Linked DNA regions of Arabidopsis thaliana. The protein of the gene in region 2 interacts with the protein of the main gene of each other region in a pairwise test. Each region holds a gene or a part of one and is shown on either strand. Other genes may lie near its edges. The genes, in order: AT1G19450, AT4G18205 and AHA10.

The links.
Region 1: the proteins of AT4G18205 (region 2) and AT1G19450 interact in a protein complementation assay, tested with the Arabidopsis thaliana proteins (one large-scale study listed by BioGRID).
Region 3: the proteins of AT4G18205 (region 2) and AHA10 interact in a protein complementation assay, tested with the Arabidopsis thaliana proteins (one large-scale study listed by BioGRID).

The regions. Positions count from the first base shown.
Region 1 is NC_003070.9:6,731,925-6,739,466, forward strand, and holds the start of AT1G19450 (Major facilitator superfamily protein), read right to left. Parts: upstream 3,101-7,542; 5' UTR 2,710-3,100; coding exon 2,512-2,709; intron 2,390-2,511; coding exon 2,327-2,389; intron 2,216-2,326; coding exon 2,126-2,215; intron 2,011-2,125; coding exon 1,951-2,010; intron 1,863-1,950; coding exon 1,797-1,862; intron 1,708-1,796; coding exon 1,642-1,707; intron 1,547-1,641; coding exon 1,471-1,546; intron 1,363-1,470; coding exon 1,298-1,362; intron 1,213-1,297; coding exon 1,120-1,212; intron 1,044-1,119; coding exon 963-1,043; intron 881-962; coding exon 796-880; intron 698-795; coding exon 651-697; intron 586-650; coding exon 523-585; intron 429-522; coding exon 369-428; intron 279-368; coding exon 213-278; intron 117-212; coding exon 57-116; intron 1-56. Other genes in the region: AT1G19460 (Galactose oxidase/kelch repeat superfamily protein), read left to right, coding at 6,560-7,542.
Region 2 is NC_003075.7:10,069,951-10,077,492, forward strand, and holds AT4G18205 (Nucleotide-sugar transporter family protein), read left to right. Parts: upstream 1-3,760; 5' UTR 3,761-3,899; coding exon 3,900-3,930; intron 3,931-4,012; coding exon 4,013-5,115; 3' UTR 5,116-5,420; downstream 5,421-7,542. Other genes in the region: PUP8 (purine permease 8), read left to right, coding at 1-1,024; PUP7 (purine permease 7), read left to right, coding at 1,825-1,855, 1,938-3,079; AT4G18203 (uncharacterized protein), read right to left, coding at 2,794-2,970, 3,502-3,549, 3,701-3,709; PUP10 (purine permease 10), read left to right, coding at 6,225-6,255, 6,404-7,542.
Region 3 is NC_003070.9:5,899,964-5,907,505, reverse strand, and holds the start of AHA10 (autoinhibited H[+]-ATPase), read right to left. Parts: upstream 3,449-7,542; coding exon 3,383-3,448; intron 3,296-3,382; coding exon 3,176-3,295; intron 3,089-3,175; coding exon 2,990-3,088; intron 2,901-2,989; coding exon 2,763-2,900; intron 2,667-2,762; coding exon 2,532-2,666; intron 2,442-2,531; coding exon 2,262-2,441; intron 2,164-2,261; coding exon 1,957-2,163; intron 1,856-1,956; coding exon 1,736-1,855; intron 1,615-1,735; coding exon 1,495-1,614; intron 1,407-1,494; coding exon 1,284-1,406; intron 1,171-1,283; coding exon 1,066-1,170; intron 941-1,065; coding exon 796-940; intron 682-795; coding exon 520-681; intron 431-519; coding exon 192-430; intron 30-191; coding exon 1-29. Other genes in the region: RLP3 (receptor like protein 3), read left to right, coding at 4,067-6,337. UniProt on the Arabidopsis thaliana protein: The plasma membrane H(+) ATPase of plants and fungi generates a proton gradient that drives the active transport of nutrients by H(+)-symport. The resulting external acidification and/or internal alkinization may mediate growth responses.

The DNA.
Region 1 (7,542 bases), on a different chromosome or scaffold from region 2:
AAAATTTCCAGTTGTGATTTTAACACTAAGGAACACCATGTTTTAATATTTAGTACCTCAGACATAATCAGCCATGGAATTGGTCCCATTCCTAGAGAGCAAGAAATAACCATAGCCTGTAAATAACTCAGCCAGATTTAGTACACATACCGGGAAATATGTAAATAAGAAAGTATCTTTCGTTGTGTGAATGTATAAAACAAACGACTTACCACAACTCCAACTACGGAAACCATGCTTAGAATGTTGTACATGTTGGAATCAGGTGATACAAATTCCTAACAAAAGATTAAGAAACCTCAATATCTCATAATTAGAGTGACACTCTTACATTGTACAAGTAGAGATGTCAAAAGTTAAAATGTTACCTTAAGGTAAAATGCAACTGCTACAATCACGAGGCTTATCGTCATTCCGATAGAAGAGATCTGCATTTCAGAAGAAAATGCTAATATTATGTTATGCATACATAAATTCTTCAGACTTTGTAAGATATACAGATGAATCTCAAATATTCTTCACCATGAGTAGAAGCCGACGACCTGCTTTATCCACCAACCATGTCGCTATCCCAGTCGCCACTACCTGGTATAGAATGAACAACGGTTAGAAAAATCGAATCTAATGTCTCCTAGATTGAAATGATATACCTGAACAACGCCAACTCCAAATGTCGCCACATTACTTGATGTCACCCCTTAGTGAATGATAATTGCAAACAAAGAAGCATAGTTAGAAATCTGTTTATTCTATCTTAGGACCATTCCAATAATCAAAAAAAACATATGACTCTACCTGCAGATTCAAAAATTGTACTCGAATAGAACAAGACACCATTGATTCCTCCAAGTTGTTGAAGTGCAAGCAGCCCTATACCAACCTGTAACACAGATTACAGGAAAAGAGTGAGTTTCTCTCATGTGTTGACAAAATTAGTTCAAGAGAGGTAAGAGAAATTGCACCATCAGTGGGAAATAGTATCTCCTGCGCTTGAGGTCTACAAACCGAACTGCAGAACGTTTGCTAGATGATGCCACAGATCTCTGCAGAGTGCATAAAATGAAAATTTTAAATAAGACAAGAAATCACATCAAAGCATTTCTTCAGTTTAGTCACTACCTTGATTTCATTAACCTCAACGGTAATATCAGTCTCAAATCCACGAAGAACTTGCAATGAAGTTTCGAAATCATCTGTCAAACCCATCTTTGCCTACAATTACAACACCAAAACAATTTAGGATAACCAATAATGCAACAAACTCAACAATATAAGCAATACGGTTGTAGAGGCATACCAACCACCGAGGAGATTCAGGAATGAAAAAAAGACCCGGTATCAACAATGTACATGGCAATACTCCTAAACATAAAGAAGACAAACAAGAAAGTGATTAGACTGTATCGATCAAAATAAAATAAAAACAGGTATAGTTTCTCCCAAGTCAAGTCAAAATGTTTTGTGAGTTACCCAAAACTGCAAGAATTCTCCATGGAACAAAGAGACCGAGTAAATACGCCAGCATTATCCCAATTGTTACAGAAAGCTATAAACACAAAACATTTATTGTTTAGTGTTAACATATGAATCAGCTCATAAAATGAAACATAAAAATAGTGAAGCTAACTAAACATGACAAACCTGGTTAACTGAACCTAAGGCTCCTCTCATGGTCTGTGGAGCGATCTCAGCTATATATACGGGAACCTAAAATCGCAATTCAAAGGTGTGTAATTATATTGATCACTCCAAACAAACATTGCTGAAATCAAAGAAATAGTTGAATCTAATATTACCGTATAGGAGATAATCCCAACTCCGAAGCCTTCTAACAATCTTCCCATGTAAAGAAAAGAAGTATCCTAAACAAAAACCAAGAACAACAACAACTTAGTAGGTATAGAGATAAGCCAAGAATATCAGAAACTTTGAGAACACCAAAACACTCACTTTTGCAAATGATATCGAAAGCCATCCAATAATATTGGGAATTGCAGCAATCATCAGAGACTGTCAAAAGGAAAGAAAAACACAGTAAATAAGATACAACAAGAAAGAAGATGTTACATGACAAATTGTCACAGATGAGAACATGTTTTAGAATCAAGAAACAAAACTATTATACCCCTTTCCGTCCAACGTATTCAGCAATCTGACCACTCGCAATTGCTCCAACCATAGCACCCACATTGGATAGAGACCCAAACACAGAGTACTAAAACATCAAACAAGAAACCTAAAAGTCAGAAAATTACAGAACAAGAGTCTTTACAAAAAAAAAAAAAAAAAACAGAACAGTTCTTAAATAAAGATGGGACCTTCATACCTCTGATACAGTTAAACCAAGATCCTTAGTAATGGCAGCTTGAGTTGGTGAGGAATAACCACACTGAAAACAAAAAGATAAATCAAAATCAACACTTTCTTAGTCAATTTGAGCAAAAGCAGAGAAATCCACATTGATAAAAAAAAATATAAGAAAGTTGAGATATTTGTTTATGTTGTTCTTACAGTGAATCCGAATTGAATAGGACCAAGAGCAACAATCAAAACACAAGCTAAGACAGAAATTGAGCTGTCTCGAATAACTTGAGACGATTCCAACATACTAGATTGTCTCGAACCCATCCGATACCAACTTCCTGTGTGTAAGAACGGTCGCCGAAGATCATTTCTTCCCTCTTCCGTATTATCATCCCTAAAACTCATCTTTTTGTTTTTCTTAAATCTACAAAACAATCGTAATCTACAGAGAGAAAAAAGCACGAATCTTTCGGAGGATAAAAATGTCGATCCTAAACTAGAAAATGCAGAAGAAGAAAAATACGAAATTTGAGGTAGGATTTGAGTTTTGGGTGAATTCAAAAAGATGTTAGACTTGTTTTGCTTAAGAATTCTTCATGGTTTGTAAAAATTGAGCCTTTGCGTGGAGAGACGCAGACTGTTTCATAGTTTTCCACCTCAGAACGCGTCGCCTAACATCGATTTATAGAATTCGTAAAGGGACCTGTTTTTTTTCTTCTCTGTCGACAAAAAAAAACTTAATTTAAAAACATTTTAATTTGTAATTAAATAAGATATCGTTCATTTTAAATTCTTTTATATCAAATTTAACTATTGTTTTTTTTTGTCTGATTGTCGTTTTCGAGTTATTTTTTGCGCAAAGATAATTTTTTGAATCATTGTCCCATGTTCGCTCACATATACAAGCATTTGTAGTCGCTTTGAATCATTTATTTTCTTCTACATACTTCTACATACTCATTAGTATTATAATGAGCTTTTACAATGTAACTAATTACGCAACAATACTATAAAATTGTGGTACAGGCTGAGACTAAACTATATTGTATTTTTAAGAAAATGTTTTTCTTTTTGTTTAGGTAAACTGTCTACTTCAAAGATATTTTTTGGTAGGAATAATAATTAAAACTTCCCATATTAGAATACGAGGCCACTAGACATTCCTTTTGACAACAAAAAGTGACAATGTCATTTTATATTTTAGCACTTATAATAATAGTTAGCATGCATTATAGAATTCATATTTAGATGTTGTCCTAACTCTTAACAAAATCAGAATAACAATATTGTGGGAGAAAATTTAGCTAAAACTTCAATTTAGGACAAATAATAAGATTATTAAAGTAACACTTAAATATGAATATAATGCTCGAATCCTCCTCTACTTTTTAGCATTTTCGCTACCTCGTTGATATTGATGTCGATAGGTCACAAATATGCAAGTGACATTATTTTATTAGATAAACTCGAATAATTATAGTTTTTGTTTTCTAGTATATGAAAAATATATGGATGTCATTAATTTCGAATACTTCAATAAATATAAATATTTATTCAGATACAACATTATTTATTTATTTTCAATATTTAAAATCTTTGAGAATACGACATGTTATTTCAATGTTTACCAATAACATCCTACTATATTATTTAGGAAATACATTTTAAATATAACTTTATTTTTTTGTAAGTAATTACATAGGTATGTCATTAGAAATAAGATTTTAAAGAGTAAATTAATTTATTTCTTTAAAAATTAAAAGTCAAATACTAATTTAATTAATTAAATTTAACTCAAAAACGAAATACATTATTAATTTCCAAAAAAGTAACCAATTAAAATCAACAAATTAGATTTGATATCTAAATTATCATATTAATTTTTTATTAATTATTATAGTTCACCTCTCATCTTTATATGATTCTATTTTTGCAAAAAAATAATATCATCGTTATAAAAAAATAATTAGAATTTTTTCGCATATGCCACAATTTGAATTTTTAAAAACGAATATAAACTGTTCAATACATGAAAAAATACTATAACGGGTCAAAAGTAGATTTAAGAAATTTTTTTACTGAGTACTGTGTCATAGTTTGAATATTTATATTCAATTTCATACATATTATTTTAAAATTTATAATCTTATATACTACAATAATTAATAACATATTAGATTTTTTAATGTGTATGATGTGATTCAATTTTTAATACAAGCTGAAAAATCCTACAATTGACGGGTTTAAATCAATATTAATACAAGATGATATACTATATGTGAAACTTTAAAATTAACAATCAAAATACAAGTATATAATTTTAAACACTAAACAATATAAATAATATCAACAAAACATATACAACTCGCAGTTTACTATACATTTAAAATCAAATAAAATAATATCATATATTTATAATCAACTTTACAATAAAAGTTTTTAGTTTAACTAAAATATAAGACTACCTGCTGTATAATGCAAGTTAAAATTATAAATAAGCCGATTACCATCACGATGGATGTACCATCTCACATACACACCTATCAAAAACTTAAAACCTTTCAAAACCTCTTGGTATATTCAAATTAGGATTCTTCATTCATGGAATCATTATTCCAAGGGTTTTGGGATGTCTTATGAAATGATTTTGGCAGAAGAAGATGTAAATTTTTTTGAATAAAAAGTAGTCACCAAAACATATGTTTTATTGGGATTTTTTAGATAATTAAATCAGAGAATAGGGCTAGGCATATGAGTAACCCATTCGAGTTCGGGTATAACCCGTTCGGATTTGGGATTAATGGGTATATGATTTACTACCTAATAGAATAATTCTAAATATTCGGTTCGGATCGCGTCCATTTGGGTTTAGGTCAGTTTGGATAAAAAGTTTCAGGCCCTAAAAATACTCAAAAAATAGAAACAGGTATTTTGTATGTAGATAATGCGTCTCCAAACAACAAAAACTTTTAAATTTATTAAATTTTAATAAATTTAATTATATTTAAATATATTTTACTAAAGTTTGACAAATATAACAAATAATTTTGACAAACATAGCAAACATAATAAAGTATACAATTTAATTTATACAAAATATTAATGTTCGTGCTGTATAGCACGAGTTATGATCTAGTTATGTTTTAAAACATAAGTTTAGATGACATTTTCAATGTTTACCAATAACATTATGTTTTAAAACATAAATTTAGATGACATTTGATGTTGTATTGGTGAATAAAATATATGTATTGGAAAAAAAAAAAAAAATCTCCACAAAAGTCATTCTCTCTTTTTTCTAAAATTCATTGAAGATATATTTTTAAAAAAAAAGAAAAACAGAGTGTTATTTACAGATGAATGAATTGGGAAACATTTAAGTAATTTTTTAAATATGATACGTATGTAACCTGTTAGTTGTTAATCTTCTTAGTTGTTAATAACGTCGGCATAATTGAGATCCCAAAATCACACAAGTTACATACACGAGGTTTTATTTTTTTAAAGAACTTCTAAATCGAGATAAATCTATGGTCGATAGAGGCAACGACAAGAAAGGCCAGTAGATATCACACCAAACACGTCTTATTGGGGTTATGATTCATAGGCTCTGATTCATCGTTCAACATATAATAATATTCTGTTGACCCAACAATGCAGATTCGTATATTTTCACTGTTCTGGGTCTTTTGTCTCTTTCTCATCTCTCACGTGTTAGTGCTTACATCTCTGTGTAGCCGTTTCCGGATCCCGACACAAGCATTCTCTTCCATTGTCCCCACTTTGCTTAGTTGGTCTGATACTTTTATCGGTTTTAATATCAATAAGTAACACGATTTTCACCATTTAACGAGTACATGCAACACGATTGTACATGTCACATTTATCTTGGCATAAATCTATCTATGATCGTTAACACGATTATACATTAAAAACTTTGGATCAATTATTTTTTATTTTCTCTTTTATTGTTGGGAGTAGTGTTCTAATTGATTTAATAATTTTTATTGAGAATAATAATCGAATTTAAAATGCAGTGTGTATTAGACAATTAGTGGACTTATAGAGGCTAATTTAAGTAACCAAATTTGGGCTTTAATAAGGATCCATACTCTTCGGCTTGAAAGCCCACATTGTAAAGTTAAAACACTATATCAGGCTCTGTTTTCATTATGGCTATAAATACACGAGTTTTTCCAGAAACCAAATCAGGCTCTGTTTTCATTATTTCTCGCTGCTGACTTCACAGACGACGATGGCTAATATCTCTGAAATTTCCGGCGACTCTAATGACGGCGGAGATCCAAACAAGAAACCAGAAGAACAAGTTTTGAGAAGAAGTAGAAGAATCGCGACAAGAAACGAGAATCAAAACAAGAAGCCCAAGGAGGAAGAAGAAAAAGATAATCGCTCGGTATCTTTTCCAATTCCAAACGAGCTCACGGAAGCTTGCGTCGCACTCATCCGGAAATGTGATTACCCTAGTCTATCTTCCGTCTCAAGTTACTTTTTCAATCTCATCGCTTCGTCAGAACTCTACGAAACGCGTTCGCGCCTCGGTCTTTCCGAAACCTTTCTTTACGCCGCCATCCGATTCCCTGACACAAATCCCCCAAACTGGTACATTCTCCATCGAAACAAGGTTTCTTCTTTACGTTTGAGCAAACTCGAATCACTTCCACCTGTGCCTTATGGATGTTCTGTCGTCACAATCGGTCAAGAGATGTATGTAATCGGTGGACTCCTCGATGTAAGACGTTTACAGTTGATGACTCTCATCGACTGCAGAACTCACAAATGTCGCTCGCTTCCGAAAATGAAAAGGGGTCGTTACCATGCAGCCGCCGGAGTATTCGACGGAAAGATTTACGTAATCGGAGGTTTCAGGATGAGAAAACCGGATGCTGAATGGATTGAAGTGTTTGATCTAAAGAAACAGATTTGGGAATCTTTGCCTGGTCCGTACCCTAAAACTAGTATGGATTCCCAGTTTTTTGCACATGCGGTGATGGAAGACAAGTTATACATTTTGGGCTCACGTTGCTTGATTTACGAACCAAAAAGAAACGGTGAATGGGACGCAACCGTCAATGCAAATCCAATATGGAATCTGTGGAAAGTGCCATGTACTATGCAATGTGTGATAGATGATATGTTGTATACGATTGATCCTCAGTGTACTCTTGGACATCCAATAGTCGTTTATAATCCAAAGGACAAAACGTGGAGACCTGTGAA
Region 2 (7,542 bases):
TGTCCTTGCTTGCCAAGCACTTTCTACAATTTTGGGCAGAGTTTACTATGAAAATGGTGGGAAGAGTACATGGATGGGAACACTTGTCCAACTAATCGGCTTCCCTGTTCTGTTTCTCTTCCGCTTCTTTTCCCAAACCAAAAATCCCAAACCAACAGAAGCAGATTTCAGAAAGTTCTCTTCCTTCACCATTCTTGGATCAGTTTACATCGTTACTGGACTATTAGTGTCTGCTAACTCTTATATGTCCTCTGTTGGTTTACTATACTTACCAGTTTCTACTTTCTCCCTCATCTTGGCCTCACAATTGGCCTTCACTGCCTTCTTCTCATATTTTCTAAACTCGCAGAAGTTCACACCTTTCATTGTGAATTCTCTGTTTCTCCTTACTATTTCCTCTGCCCTCCTCGTGGTCAACACTGATTCGGAAAACACAGCAAAAGTGTCTAGAGTAAAATATGTGATAGGGATAATATGTACCATTGGTGCTTCTGCTGGGATTGGATTGCTGCTATCCCTGGTACAACTGATCCTCAGGAAGGTTTTAAAGAAGCAAACATTCTCAACGGTCACTGACTTGGTCGCTTACCAATCTCTAGTTGCAAGCTGTGTGGTTCTCATAGGACTTTTCGCAAGCGGGGAGTGGAAAACTTTAACAAGTGAGATGGAAAACTACAAACTGGGGAAAGTGCCATACGTTATGACTTTGGCCTCGATAGCTATTTCCTGGCAAGTCTACACCATTGGCGTCGTGGGACTGATCTTTGAGTCATCTTCTGTGTTCTCCAATTCCATAACTGCTGTGGGATTGCCTATAGTTCCAGTTGTAGCAGTGATTGTTTTCCATGATAAAATGAACGCGTCAAAGATCTTCTCCATCATTTTAGCTATCTGGGGATTCATTTCATTTGTCTATCAGCACTACCTCGACGAAAAGAAGTTGAAGACTAGCCACACAAGTCCTGTAGGAGATCCTCATCTACTACCTGCTGAGGAAGGTCACACAAACATACATAGTGTATGATCAAAACATATTTCCAGTGTAAAGCCAATGTATCTTTGTACAGTTTGAGCATAGATATAAAAACGTGTATCTCTAGTCAATCATAAGTAACTGATAAGTTTTGTACATAAGATACCAATAGTTCGGATCTTTTTTACTTCTATATACCGGAGATACCCATAACTTAAAGATGCAAATGCAATACTCTGCTTTGTCATTTTGCAATGCATTTGAATCACCAAAAAACAAGAGCAAACATCGATAGCAGAGAGGCAAATAGGCTAAAGCATCCTTGGAAAACCAGAGCTTTGAACAAAAAAAAAGAAACAAGTGAACAAAAATAATACCCACTTACCTGGAAGCCACTGACATAACAAATAACCAATGTAGTGACTTGAACAGTGCCTTGTAAAAAGACTCCTTAAAATACCAAAAACGTATACTCCAGGAGCTTGGATTCTTGTATCTTTGTTGACTTCTGATTAAACGTCAGTAGACACTGAGAAAATAAAAAAAATTCTCGTAGAGCCGCCATTCAAAAGTTTCAAGAATTCCACAAGTCAAGTGTAAGCAAATAAGAAAAGTCACCGGTCAACATGAGACTACTAAATAATGATACTGCTACTGTCATCTATCGCCTGCCCCATCCATATAATACGATTTACTAAAAGCCTGCCATGTTTGATAATGCAACTTGTGTAGGGTATTTAGATGTTTTTTTGTAATACCATCAATGTGTGTTTAAAGAAAGGCCTCTTGTGTATCTGCACGACATCTCAAACAAAACCAATCAATAAAAACAAGAAACAATCTTCTTTCTCATGGACAGATCTCAAGAACACTATGCCAATGGTAAGAAGAAGCACCTGATAAAGTTAGATCCTTGAATTCATTTTTTCATGAGATATAATAAACATGAGTGTTAATTTTTCAGGTGACCAGAACTTAGAAGCAAACCTTATAGATCATGAGGTGGTAACTGAATCATCATCATCAGCTGTGCCTCAAACCGAGAACTATAAAAGGTGGCTTCGTGTCTCCATATACGTAATCTTTGTCCTCTTTTGCCAGCCACTAGCTACAATTCTGGGTAGATTGTACTATGAAAATGGAGGAAATAGCACATATGTGGTAACACTTCTTCAACTCATTGGCTTCCCTGTACTGGTTCTGTTCCGCTTCTTTTCTCGAATCAGGCAACCCAAATCAACAGATACAAATTTCAGTCAGTCCCCTTCCTTCACCACCCTTGCATCGGTTTACTTGTGCACTGGACTGCTAGTGTCCGCTTATGCTTATTTGTCTGCAGTAGGGTTGCTCTACTTACCAGTCTCTACTTTCTCCCTCATCTTGGCCTCACAGTTGGCCTTCACTGCCTTTTTCTCATATTTCCTTAACTCGCAAAAGTTCACTCCTTTGATAGTCAGTTCTTTGCTTCTCCTCACTGTATCCTCTGCTCTTCTTGTGGTCAACACTGATTCAGAAAACTCAACTAATGTATCTAGAGTACAGTATGTGATCGGGTTCATATGTACCATCGGTGCTTCCGCTGGGATTGGACTGTTACTATCTCTGATACAAATGCTCTTCAGGAAAGTTTTCACGAAGCATACATCCTCAGCAGTCACGGACTTGGCCATTTACCAGTCTCTAGTTGCGAGTTGTGTAGTTCTCATAGGACTTTTTGCAAGTGGAGAGTGGGAAACTTTGCCAAGTGAGATGAGAAACTACAAACTCGGGAAAGTGTCATATGTTTTGACTTTAGCCTCGGCAGCTATTTCCTGGCAAGTCTACACTCTTGGTCTTGTGGGATTGATCTTCGAGTCATCCTCTGTGTTCTCCAATTCCATAACAGCTGTGGGATTGCCTATAGTTCCAGTTGCGGCAGTGATAGTTTTCCATGATAGAATGGACGCATCAAAAATCTTCTCCATTATTTTAGCTATCTGCGGCTTCCTTTCATTCGTCTATCAGCACTACCTCGACGAAAAGAAGTTGAATACTAGCCACACAAGTGCTGTAGGAGATCTTCATCTACCTGTTGAGGAAGGTCACACAAACATACAAAGTGTGTGATCAAAGCATATTTCCAGTATAAAGCCAATGTATCTTTCTTTTTTTCCCCTCAAAGGCCAAAGCCAATGTATCTTTGTACAGTTTGAGCATAAAAAACGTGTAACGCTACTTTGCAAACTAGTCAGTCATAATAGCTAATAAGTTTTGTACATATGATACCAATAATTTCAGAATATTTTTCTTCTATATATACCAATAAGTTTTCTTAAAGATGCAAATGCAATACTCTGCTTTGTAATTTTGCAATGCATTTGAAACACCGAATCAAGAGCAAACAACGAAGTCAGAGAGACAAATAGGCTAAAACAGAGCTTTGAGCAAAAAAAAAAAACAAGTGAACAGATATAATACCCACTTACTTGGAAGCCACTGACATAACAGATAAACAATGTAGTGACTTGCAACAAAACTCCTTAAAATACCAAAAACGTATACTCTAGGAGCTTGGCTTCTTGTATCTTTGTTGACTTCTGATTTAACGTCAATAGACACTGAGGAAAAAGAGTTCTCTTAGAGCCGCCATTCAAAAGTTTTAAGAATTTTAAGTCAAGTGTAAGCAAATAAGAAAGGTCAATGGTCAGCATGAGACTACTAAATTATGATACTGCTGTCATCTATCACCTGACCCATCTTTATTATTATACACAAATTAGTAAAAGTCTGCCAAGTTTGATTAGTGCAACTTGTATCTGGGGTATTTAGTTACTATAATAAATATCATTTTGTGTATAAAGAAAGGTCTCTTCTGTATCTAAAAGACATATCAAACGAAAGAAATCAATAAACACAATATTCTTTCTTCCAAATTTTCTCATTTCTCATGGGCATATCTCAAGTACACTATTGCAATGGTAAGCAAAAGGTACCTGATGACGTTAGATCATTTGATCCTCTTTCGATGAAATATAATAACCACGAGTGTTAATTTTTCAGGTGACCAGAACTTAGAAGCAAACCTTCTAGATCATGAGGAAACTGAATCATTTTCAGTACCTCAAACGAAGAACTGTAAGAGGTGGCTCCGTGTCTCCATATACGCAATCTTTGTCATCTTCTGCCAACCACTTGCTACAGTTCTGGGTAGACTGTACTATGAAAATGGAGGGAAAAGCACATATGTGGTAACACTTCTTCAACTCATTGGCTTCCCTGTACTGATTCTCTTCCGCTTCTTTTCTCGAATCAGGCAACCCAAATCAACAGATACAAATTTCAGTCAGTCCCCTTCCTTCACCACCCTTGCATCGGTTTACTTGTGCACTGGACTGCTAGTGTCTGCTTATGCTTATTTGTCTGCAGTTGGGTTGCTTTACTTACCAGTCTCTACTTTCTCCCTCATCTTGGCCTCACAGTTGGCCTTCACTGCCTTTTTCTCATATTTCCTTAACTCGCAAAAGTTCACTCCTTTGATAGTCAATTCTTTGTTTCTCCTTACGGTTTCCTCTGCCCTCCTCGTGGTCAACACTGATTCAGAAAACACAACAAATGTATCTAGAGTACAATATGTGATTGGGTTCATCTGTACCATTGGTGCTTCCGCTGGGATTGGATTGGTACTATCTCTGATACAACTGCTCTTCAGGAAAGTTTTCACGAAGCATACATCCTCAGCAGTCCTGGACTTGGCCAATTACCAGTCTCTAGTTGCAACTTGTGTGGTACTCATAGGACTGTTTGCAAGTGGAGAGTGGAGAACTCTGCCAAGTGAGATGAGAAACTACAAACTGGGGAAAGTGTCATATATCTTGACTTTGGCCTCAGCAGCTATTTTCTGGCAAGTATACACTGTTGGTTGTGTGGGATTAATCTTCGAGTCTTCTTCTGTGTTCTCCAATTCCATAACTGCTGTGGGACTGCCTATAGTTCCAGTTGTAGCAGTGATAGTTTTCCATGATAAGATGGATGCATCAAAGATTTTCTCCATCATTTTAGCTATCTGGGGCTTCCTTTCATTTGTCTATCAGCACTACCTCGACGAAAAGAAGTTGAAGACTTGCCAGACAAAACCTGTTGAGGAAGAAACACAAACTTTATGAAACAAGTTGTATCGAAGGTCTCAGAAACAAACATACATAGTTGTACACAGTCATGTAAATAACCTATATAAAGCTTGTATGTGTAATATCCGTAATGGTCCATGCAAATGGGATATGTATGTCGCTCATATTTCAGGTATTTAGAACTTTTATTCAAAAGAGTATTGTGTAATACGAGCAGAGTGATAAAAGCAGTCATTTATTTAACAGAAAAACCATGTCAATTTTGTGATACTTTCATTGTGTGAGTGTGAAACCCGATAAAAATTGACCAGTTAGCATAACTTACAGATATGTCAATGCAATATTCTCCTTTCTAGTTTTGAAATGCACCTAAATCTTGGGAAACAAGAACAAACAGCAAATCATGTATAATGAGAGATAGAAGATAATTTGTCAGATTGGTCCAACATCCTTGGGGAAACAGAGCTTTGAACAAAAAGTAAATGACCAGAAATAATACCATTTTATATAGCGACTTCCTCTGCCGTCCAGTATTAAGTTGTTGCGAATGTCTTCTCTTGAAAAGATAGGCGAGACATAATCTTTAGCTAACGTCAGCATCATCTTGATGGCAAAAACTTCATGACTAGCCATGGAAACCGAAGTGTGTACCCAATCCAAATAAATTTAAAAAGACAAATAACTTTTAGAAATGTCGTCCTCATCAAGATCACAGAATACTACAACTTGTGTACACGTTCATACATATGCGTATGCGTGTTAAGTTTCTATTTGTCTATGCGTATGGGGTTCATGTCCTCCACATAGTTGCAGAAGAAAGTCTGAATGAATATTGCCTACACATAATTTCCTCCTAGACTTAACTCATCTCTTGGTCAACAATAGAGGCATCTTTGCATGTAGAAAGACTACAGATACTAAATTCATGGAAAGAGAAGAGATATGGTTGGCATTTACTGAATGTGGGGCCAAGAACAAAGAAAACTTAGACGGTGACCGATTCCTAATCCCAGAATATATAACTTAGCATATCTCACCCATATCAAAGGAGCAATCACTTGGTAGCATTATCAACCAAGAGAATTGATAATAAGATACGTTAGTTCCTCCTTGTCCATCTCCAAGGTGGTGATTCCACATCCACCATGACGGCGGATCAAGAACTACAAATCATTGGTGAGTAAGCATAAACCAGTTTGTGGTGAACGTCCTATTCTTTCATCTTCAAAAAAAAAAAAGATGGTTATGATATTTTATAATTCAATATATGAAACGATCGACAACAAATAAACTAATTTTTGCGTTATTTTCACTCACTTACCAGTTCGGCAGGGAAAAGAACCAAATCCAACAGTTCAAGATGAAAGAAATTCAGTCAGTAGCAGCCAAGCAGAAGTATCTCACTCTAACACATACAAACGGTGGCTCAGGGTGACTTTATATACATTCTTTGTCATTTCAGGCCAAACAGTTGCTACAATTTTGGGCAGAGTATACTATGACAACGGAGGAAACAGTAAATGGCTAGCAACGGTAGTTCAACTTGTTGGCTTTCCTGTGCTACTTCCATATTATATCTTGTCATTTAAAACACATGCAACAACTGATAGAGATGGAAAAAGAACCTCACCTAGGAACCGTGTATTGGTTTACGTAGTGCTTGGACTTCTTGTAGGAGCAGATTGCTATCTGTACTCCATTGGACTTCTTTACTTACCCGTTTCTACCTATTCCCTGATCTGTGCATCTCAGTTAGCCTTCAATGCTTTCTTCTCTTATTTTCTTAACTCACAAAAACTTACCCCTATCATTTTAAATTCTCTTTTCCTCCTAACTATATCTTCCACCCTACTTGCATTCAATAATGAGGAGACAGACTCCACAAAAGTTACAAAAGGAGAGTATGTCAAAGGTTTCATATGCACCGTTGCTGCGTCTGCTGGTTATGGTCTAGTCTTATCCCTACAACAGCTAGCCTTTCTAAAAGTCCTAAAGAAGCAAAATTTCTCAGAAGTTATGGATATGATAATCTACGTGAGTCTAGTGGCCAGTTGTGTTAGCGTGGTGGGGCTTTTTGCTAGCAGTGAGTGGAAAACTTTGAGCAGTGAAATGGATAACTACAAACATGGGAAGGTATCCTACATTATGAACCTAGTGTGGACAGCTGTTACCTGGCAGGTATTCTCCATCGGTGGCACAGGACTGATCTTCGAGCTCTCCTCTCTATTCTCAAATGCAATAAGCGTTTTGGGACTCCCAGTGGTTCCTATCTTGGCTGTAATCATTTTCCATGACAAAATGAATGGGTTAAAGGTGATTTCTATGATCCTAGCTATTTGGGGTTTCACTTCCTATGTCTACCAACAATATCTTGATGACAAAAACTTGAAGAAAAATCATGAAATCACAACAACAGAATCCCCTGACCCACCAGAAGCAGAAGAGTCAACTTGGCAATCAAAA
Region 3 (7,542 bases), on a different chromosome or scaffold from region 2:
ATGCGTATGGTGATAGAGACTGCATATACCTGCAGATTCGTACTGATTAGTCGGTAATTCAGAGAAAAACATAAGCTAGTTGAGAATGTCATCAGGCTACTTGAAATCCATATCCTATATTATATGATTTTTCATTTCTTTAGCTATCAGGGATCAGATGATAGTAGTATAACTATAACTTTAGTACTTACTGTATAGTTCCTCATCCGCTGGAAAATGGCTCTGCTGGTCAAGACAGCACTGATAATTACACTTAAGCCGGGATCAGTTAGTACTATGTCAGCAGAACTTCTTGCAGCATCTGTTGCATCTGCGACAGCTATTCCGATGTCAGCTTTTTTGAGAGCAGGAGCATCATTCACACCATCTCCGGTCATTCCAACCACATGCTTCATTTCTTGTAAAATCTTTACAATCTCATACTTATGTTCTGTAACATGAGAGACAAAAAAAATTTGGGATTAGAAATGAGAGCAAATCTTAAATTTCGTAGGTACTAAGGTTGTGTTAGAATATGACCAGGGAAAACTCCAGCAAATCCATCTGCCATTTCAATTAGCTCATCCACTGGAATGGCTTCATGCTCATCATTGTTGTGGCCTAACAAAGAGGAAGAAGGATACATGTTGGTTCCCATTCCAAGACGTCTGCCTGTCTCCTTTGCAATCGCCAATTGATCACCTACATGTGGTTCCAAACTTATCATTCATTTTCCCAGAGTTTTACCGTTTACTCACAAGGGTATATGTGTTTCTCTGTCGGGCCAAGCCTACCAAGCTAAAGGTTAAGATTTACCAGTGATCATCTTAACGCAAACTCCCAGGCTAAGAGCTCTAAGGATGGTTTCACCGCTATCATGCCTTGGGGGATCAAACAGTGGCAACAGACCACAGAACCTCCATGGTCCTCCAGGACTGTTGTTGCTTTTCTCTGGAATTTCCTAGAAACAATTATTTAAATGATGCAATGAATTGGAGTAATTAATGTCATCATAACGTTCTTCTTCAAAAGTACACTTATGATAAAACCAGCTCAAGAGAGAAAGGGAGAGGACAATGATGTTACCTGATAAGCAACCGCAAGAGACCTCAAACCTTTTTCTGCAAATCTATCAATGATGGCATAAACTCTTTGCGCAATCTCATTTTTCTGCTGACACAAGTTTAGAACCTATAATATAGTGCAGTTGTATTAGTGATGGTATTTCTTTCATGGAAACAGTACAAAAAAATTCACTAAATTTTTACAACTAGAGTCAGTTTGGTAGTGCTAAGAATACATACCTGTTCAGGAGCACCTTTGGTAGCACGATACCATTTTCCATCGGAATCAATATACGTTATTGCAGTACGTTTGTCCACAGGATTGAATGGTAAGAAATGGATTTCTCTAATGTTTGCACGTGCCTACAGATAAACAACCTTTGTATGAGAAAAACTTCTAAGAAGGTGATAGTCTTATAAAAGAGAGTTCATGTTAGAGAAACATCTCTACCTCTCTGGGATCTGCAAGCATGCTAACAATGGCTGCATCTATAGCATCCTGATTTTCTAGTCGTGAAGCTCGGCCTGCAAGCAACAAAATTGTATCCTTGTCCATGTAGTCAACGAATACCTGTGCAGAAGGATTTGTACATTTAAACACCAACAATAGAGAACAAGACGATGAAGAAGGAGGCAACTGTTCTTAACAGTATTGTTTGATGAAATTCAAGTCGCATCTGTAGTATTGGTACCTCAATAAGATTTTTATCAACGGTAAGACTGTTCAAAGTAAGGGTTCCAGTTTTATCACAGCAGAGTACATCCATCCCAGCCATTTCCTCTATTGCGGTCATTCTTTTCGTAATGGCACCCTTAGAGAACATGAAGAAACAGATTATTGCTAACAAACTGTTTTAAAGAATAACAAACAAAGGACTTCCTTTTGCATTCAGCAGCTTAAAGTGGGATGTACCTGTTGTGAAAGTCGATGAGATCCAATGGCAAGCGTTACAGATAGTACAGTGGGCATGGCAATGGGTATCCCTCCAATCAGTAGTACAAGAAGATTATTGATCCCAATTCTGTAAGAGCGATGTTGTACAGGGAACATGATAATGATTTCAAGAACCATTCCAACAGCAATGGAGCAAATGCAGAAGTTTCCAATCGATGTAAGAACCTAGAAGAAAACATGTCAAAGACTACATTCGGTTTTTCCAGATTCCAAGTTCACTAATCAGGTTCTATCCAACCAAAAGGGAAAGAAAGAAGGAAAACCTGCTGAAAATGTCCAGTTACATCTGTACTGTCCACCAAGCGTGCTGTTTTTCCAAAGAAGGTGGTCGATCCAGTTGCTATCACAACAGCTTCTATTTCACCTTGTTTACAAGTAGAGCCAGAAAAGACCTGTTCACCCTTCTTCTTGGTCACAGGTAGTGATTCTCCGGTCAGCACTGACTGCAGGAATAAATGTTTTAACTATTCTGTCAGAGAAAGTCTTTACATAGTACACACTAAAAGAATAGAGACTAGATATTCTGGACGTACCTGATCAATCTTCAAGGGGTCTCCTTCAAGAAGGCGAGCATCTGCAGGAATGATATCCCCAAGCTTAATGCTAATTATATCACCAGGTACCAAGATAGAAGCATCTTGTTCTTGCCACTGTCCATCTCTAAGAACCTATAAGAGTGGATCTAAATCAAATTTAAGGTAATATAGAAATTAAAGTGCAGCTAACTTTGCCGTTTCGGCTCATAGGAAGGTTAAGAGCCATACTCTTGTTTTTAAAGCCAAGCGAGCCATAAGAGCTGCAGCAGCATTCCCAGCATTGTTTTCTTCAAAGAAGCTGATTGTTGCGTTGATCAGCAAAAGGCAAACGATTCCAGTAAAGTCTTCCCAGTCAGGACCTAGACTCTGTAATACCATTTTCACCATGAGTTTCAAGGTGCTTTTTCATAAACACTCATGGATGGAAAATGGTAGCAAAACTGTGGTTGTCTTACTTGACTATTAGCGAGGGCAATGGCCATCAATGCAGCAGCTTCCATAACCCATGACAAGGGATTCCACATAAAACCTAAGAATTTCACAAATCTGTTCTCCTGTATCATTGTTGTTTTAAATGGCGGTTAGCACAAGATAATAGAGACAATTGGCAGGAACACTAAGAAGAATGTCATGTTTATTACCTGTTTCTCTTCAAGTCTGTTAGGACCAAATATCTTCAATCTCTCTTCAGCATCTCCAGATAAAAGCCCTTGAGGCGATGTTCTTAGGTATTCAAAAACCTCCTCCAACGGCAATATACCCTGTCAAGCTCAAGAAGGGTCAAAACCCTTTTTTGCCACTAAGAATTCAAGTACTAATAAGAGTATACAGTTAAAAGGAACATTTACCAAATCAATTCCTTTTCTGTTGAAAGTATCAGGATCCAGCAATGGCTTGTCCAAATCCTCGGCCATACTTAAAAGCTTCAAAATGTATTACCAGGATCCGATACTAATTTCGTCGTTAAGAATATACCAGGAACAGAAGAGAAACAGGAATCCTTAAAAAGAATCCAGGAATATTGAAACTGAAACGACCATTCCATGGCTGACCAGTTGATAGAGTGTGGAGAAGAGGAGATTCTCCTGCAAGTCTCAATTGGTATCACCATTATTGGAAGCATAAGAGAGTTTGCGAACAGTAGATGTGAAAGACGACGAAAAAAGCAGAGAGAGAGAGAAAGAAGAGTGGTTAAAGATCTCACTTCTCTACCTAACGGTCACTCTCACTAGCTTCCTCTTTTTAACTTAACTTAACAACCACTGTTACGTCAACTGTTCTCATAGGACTTGGTCTCCTCTCATGTTACGTAGAAAATGAAATTGAGAAAGGATTAACGATGGACCAATGGTATGAGAAAATTGATCACAGGAATAATGAAAGCGTCAGGACAAAGAAACAGATAAAAAAAATATTAAAGATGTACGACAAGTCTAATTTTGTTATGTCTGGGCTATTCCCCCTTAGTCAACACTGGCCAACAAGTTTTTTCATCTTCTTTGTCTGTTTCTCGTCTTGTTCTTGTTCTCACCATGACTAATGAGGGGAGATTCAAAGCCAAAGGTTTTGTGAGAACTTCATCAACCACAAGACCAATACAAGCTCTGAGTTTTCACATGATTGGCATACTCCTTCAGTGTGTTCTTTTCATCAGTGTCCTTTCTATTGCAGTTTCAGAGGCTCTCTGCAACTCGCAAGATCGAGAATCCCTACTGTGGTTCTCTGGAAACGTTTCTTCTTCTGTTTCTCCTCTGAATTGGAACCCATCCATTGATTGTTGCTCATGGGAAGGAATAACCTGCGATGATTCCCCGGATAGCCACATCACTGCAATCTCATTGCCCTTTAGAGCACTATATGGTAAACTCCCTTTGTCTGTTCTGCGTCTCCACCATCTCTCTCAACTCAATCTTTCTCATAACCGTCTCTCCGGTCATCTCCCATCTGGCTTTCTCTCAGCCCTTGATCAGCTCAAAGTTCTTGATCTTAGTTACAACAGCCTCGATGGTGAGTTGCCAGTTGAACAAACATTTAGAAATGGAAGCAACAGATGTTTCCCAATTCGGATAGTTGATCTGTCAAGCAATTTTCTCCAAGGCGAAATCCTCCCTAGTTCTATTTTTATGCAAGGAACTTTCGATTTAATCAGTTTCAATGTCAGCAAGAACAGCTTCACAGGCTCAATCCCTTCGTTTATGTGCAAGAGTTCACCGCAGCTCAGCAAACTGGATTTCTCCTACAATGATTTTACCGGTAATATTCCGCAAGGACTAGGGAGATGTTTGAAGCTAAGTGTTCTACAAGCAGGCTTCAACAATATCTCTGGTGAAATCCCAAGTGACATATACAATCTTTCGGAGCTCGAGCAACTCTTTCTACCCGTCAATCATCTTTCTGGAAAGATCAATGATGACATCACCCACCTCACAAAACTAAAATCGCTCGAGCTGTACTCCAATCACCTTGGAGGAGAAATACCAATGGACATAGGTCAGCTCTCTCGCCTGCAAAGCCTCCAACTCCATATCAATAACATCACTGGTACAGTCCCGCCTTCTCTTGCAAATTGTACTAATCTCGTCAAGTTGAATCTGAGGCTTAATCGGCTGGAAGGAACCTTATCAGAGCTTGACTTTTCCCGCTTTCAGAGCCTTAGCATTCTAGATCTCGGAAACAATAGCTTCAGCGGTGATTTCCCTTGGAGGGTTCACTCCTGCAAATCTCTATCAGCGATGAGATTTGCAAGCAATAAGTTAACAGGACAGATATCTCCTCACGTACTGGAACTTGAATCTCTATCGATCTTGTCTCTTTCAGACAATAAACTGATGAACATTACAGGCGCTCTTGGAATTCTGCAGGGCTGCAGGAATCTGTCCACTCTCCTCATAGGAAAGAATTTTTACAACGAAACATTTCCAAGCGACAAAGACTTGATTTCCTCAGATGGATTCCCTAATCTCCAAATATTTGCTAGCGGTGGATCTGGACTGAGAGGTGAAATACCAGCTTGGCTAATCAAATTGAAGAGCTTAGCAGTCATAGATTTGTCCCACAACCAGCTTGTAGGGTCAATTCCTGGTTGGTTGGGAACTTTTCCCCACCTTTTCTATATTGATCTCTCAGAAAATCTTCTTTCAGGAGAGCTGCCGAAGGATTTATTCCAACTAAAGGCTCTGATGTCCCAAAAGGCCTACGACGCAACAGAAAGGAACTATCTAAAGCTGCCAGTTTTTGTCAGTCCCAATAATGTTACAACTCATCAGCAATACAATCAGCTGTTTAGCCTCCCACCTGGGATCTACATAAGAAGGAATAACCTGAAAGGAAGTATACCGATCGAAGTTGGCCAGTTAAAGGTTCTTCATGTCCTCGAGCTTTCTCATAACTATTTGTCTGGCATCATCCCACATGAGTTGTCGAAACTCACCAGCTTAGAGAGGCTTGACCTGTCCAACAATCACTTATCTGGTAGAATTCCTTGGTCGCTAACAAGCCTCCATTATATGTCTTATTTCAACGTGGTGAACAACAGTCTCGACGGGCCAATACCCACAGGAAGTCAGTTTGATACTTTTCCACAAGCAAATTTTAAAGGAAACCCCTTGTTGTGCGGTGGCATACTGCTGACTTCCTGCAAGGCTTCAACAAAGCTGCCTGCTACAACCACAAATAAAGCGGATACAGAGGATGAAGAGGAGTTGAAGTTTATTTTTATTCTCGGAGTTGCCACTGGATTTTTTGTTTCCTACTGTTTTTACTGGTGCTTTTTTGCTAGACTCGATGCTTTCATTAGTAAGTAATTTTTTCCTATACATTGTAAAGAAACAGTGGTTAAATGTGATGGTTTTAGATTGATTCTGCTCGCTGCGTATTACTAGATAGAATGTGCAGGCTTTATCAAAATCCTCAAATCTCTTTGTATTTCCAGCAGACATAATATTAAAAATAGAAACCAGCTACTAAAGTTTTATCGCGCCAAATTCGTAACAGGAGATTGAGTTTGCTGACCAAGGAATCTAGTGGGTTTGTTGAGTTGGAGTCTAGAACTATTTCACCAACTTGTAACTAGGATGCTTGATTACCTTCCGTTTATGTGCTCTACTTGAGAGATGAGAGGTGAAATTTTATAGCCTATTCGTGTTGGACAGCAAGATCACGGCAGCATAGTGAGCAAACCCATCAGGCAGAGTCACCCGTTTCACTGCACTTCTACTCCTCAAGTGCCCTTGAATCTGTGGGAAAAAAAAGTAGCCAGTTCAGCAACAGATTTGCTGGTTATTTCTACAACACTGAGATAGAGGACAAACACACACCTGCCAGAAGAAAGTTTTGAAAAGAATTATATGGAAACGGCTGCAGAAGGTTGTATCCCATCATTTGTAGGAAGTCAAAAAGACCAGGTTCCGGATCGGATATGACCATTATATTAGCTGGAGGTGGGATCCTCACGGTAAATCTATAAATAAGATCCAAAATGTCCATAGAACCTGTTTCAGAAACTAAAGACGTGAGACTCTTTATTCATCAAGGAAAATATCAATTACTGTAGAAAGGCATAAGGATGAAAAGATATCAACCTTAGGGGACGTTAGTAAGAGCGATTCCACTGGAATAGACTCATCTCAGGATGTCATTCTGGACGTCTTTTAGTACGCCAACGGCAGTGATGTTGAGAGGACAAGAGAATTCTCCAAAACCCGTTTAATACACGGACGGACCCGACGAGGATCAAAGCAAGGGAGAACCAGACACATACTGATGTCCCAAAAGACCGATGTCACAGCCACAGCCTCCTCCTGCGTAGCCTTCTTTATCATCGAAGACTGTTTTAAAACCTAAGGAAAATCAAATTTTCAAAATTGGGAAATCAAAACGCAGTAAGGTCTTTAATCTAAACCGATGACATTTTTCAGAAACAGTGAGATAAGGAGCGAGGAATTTACCTGAGAGATAAGATAAGCAGGGTTGGTTGGATCTCGAAATCGACTAGGGTATCGAAATCCCT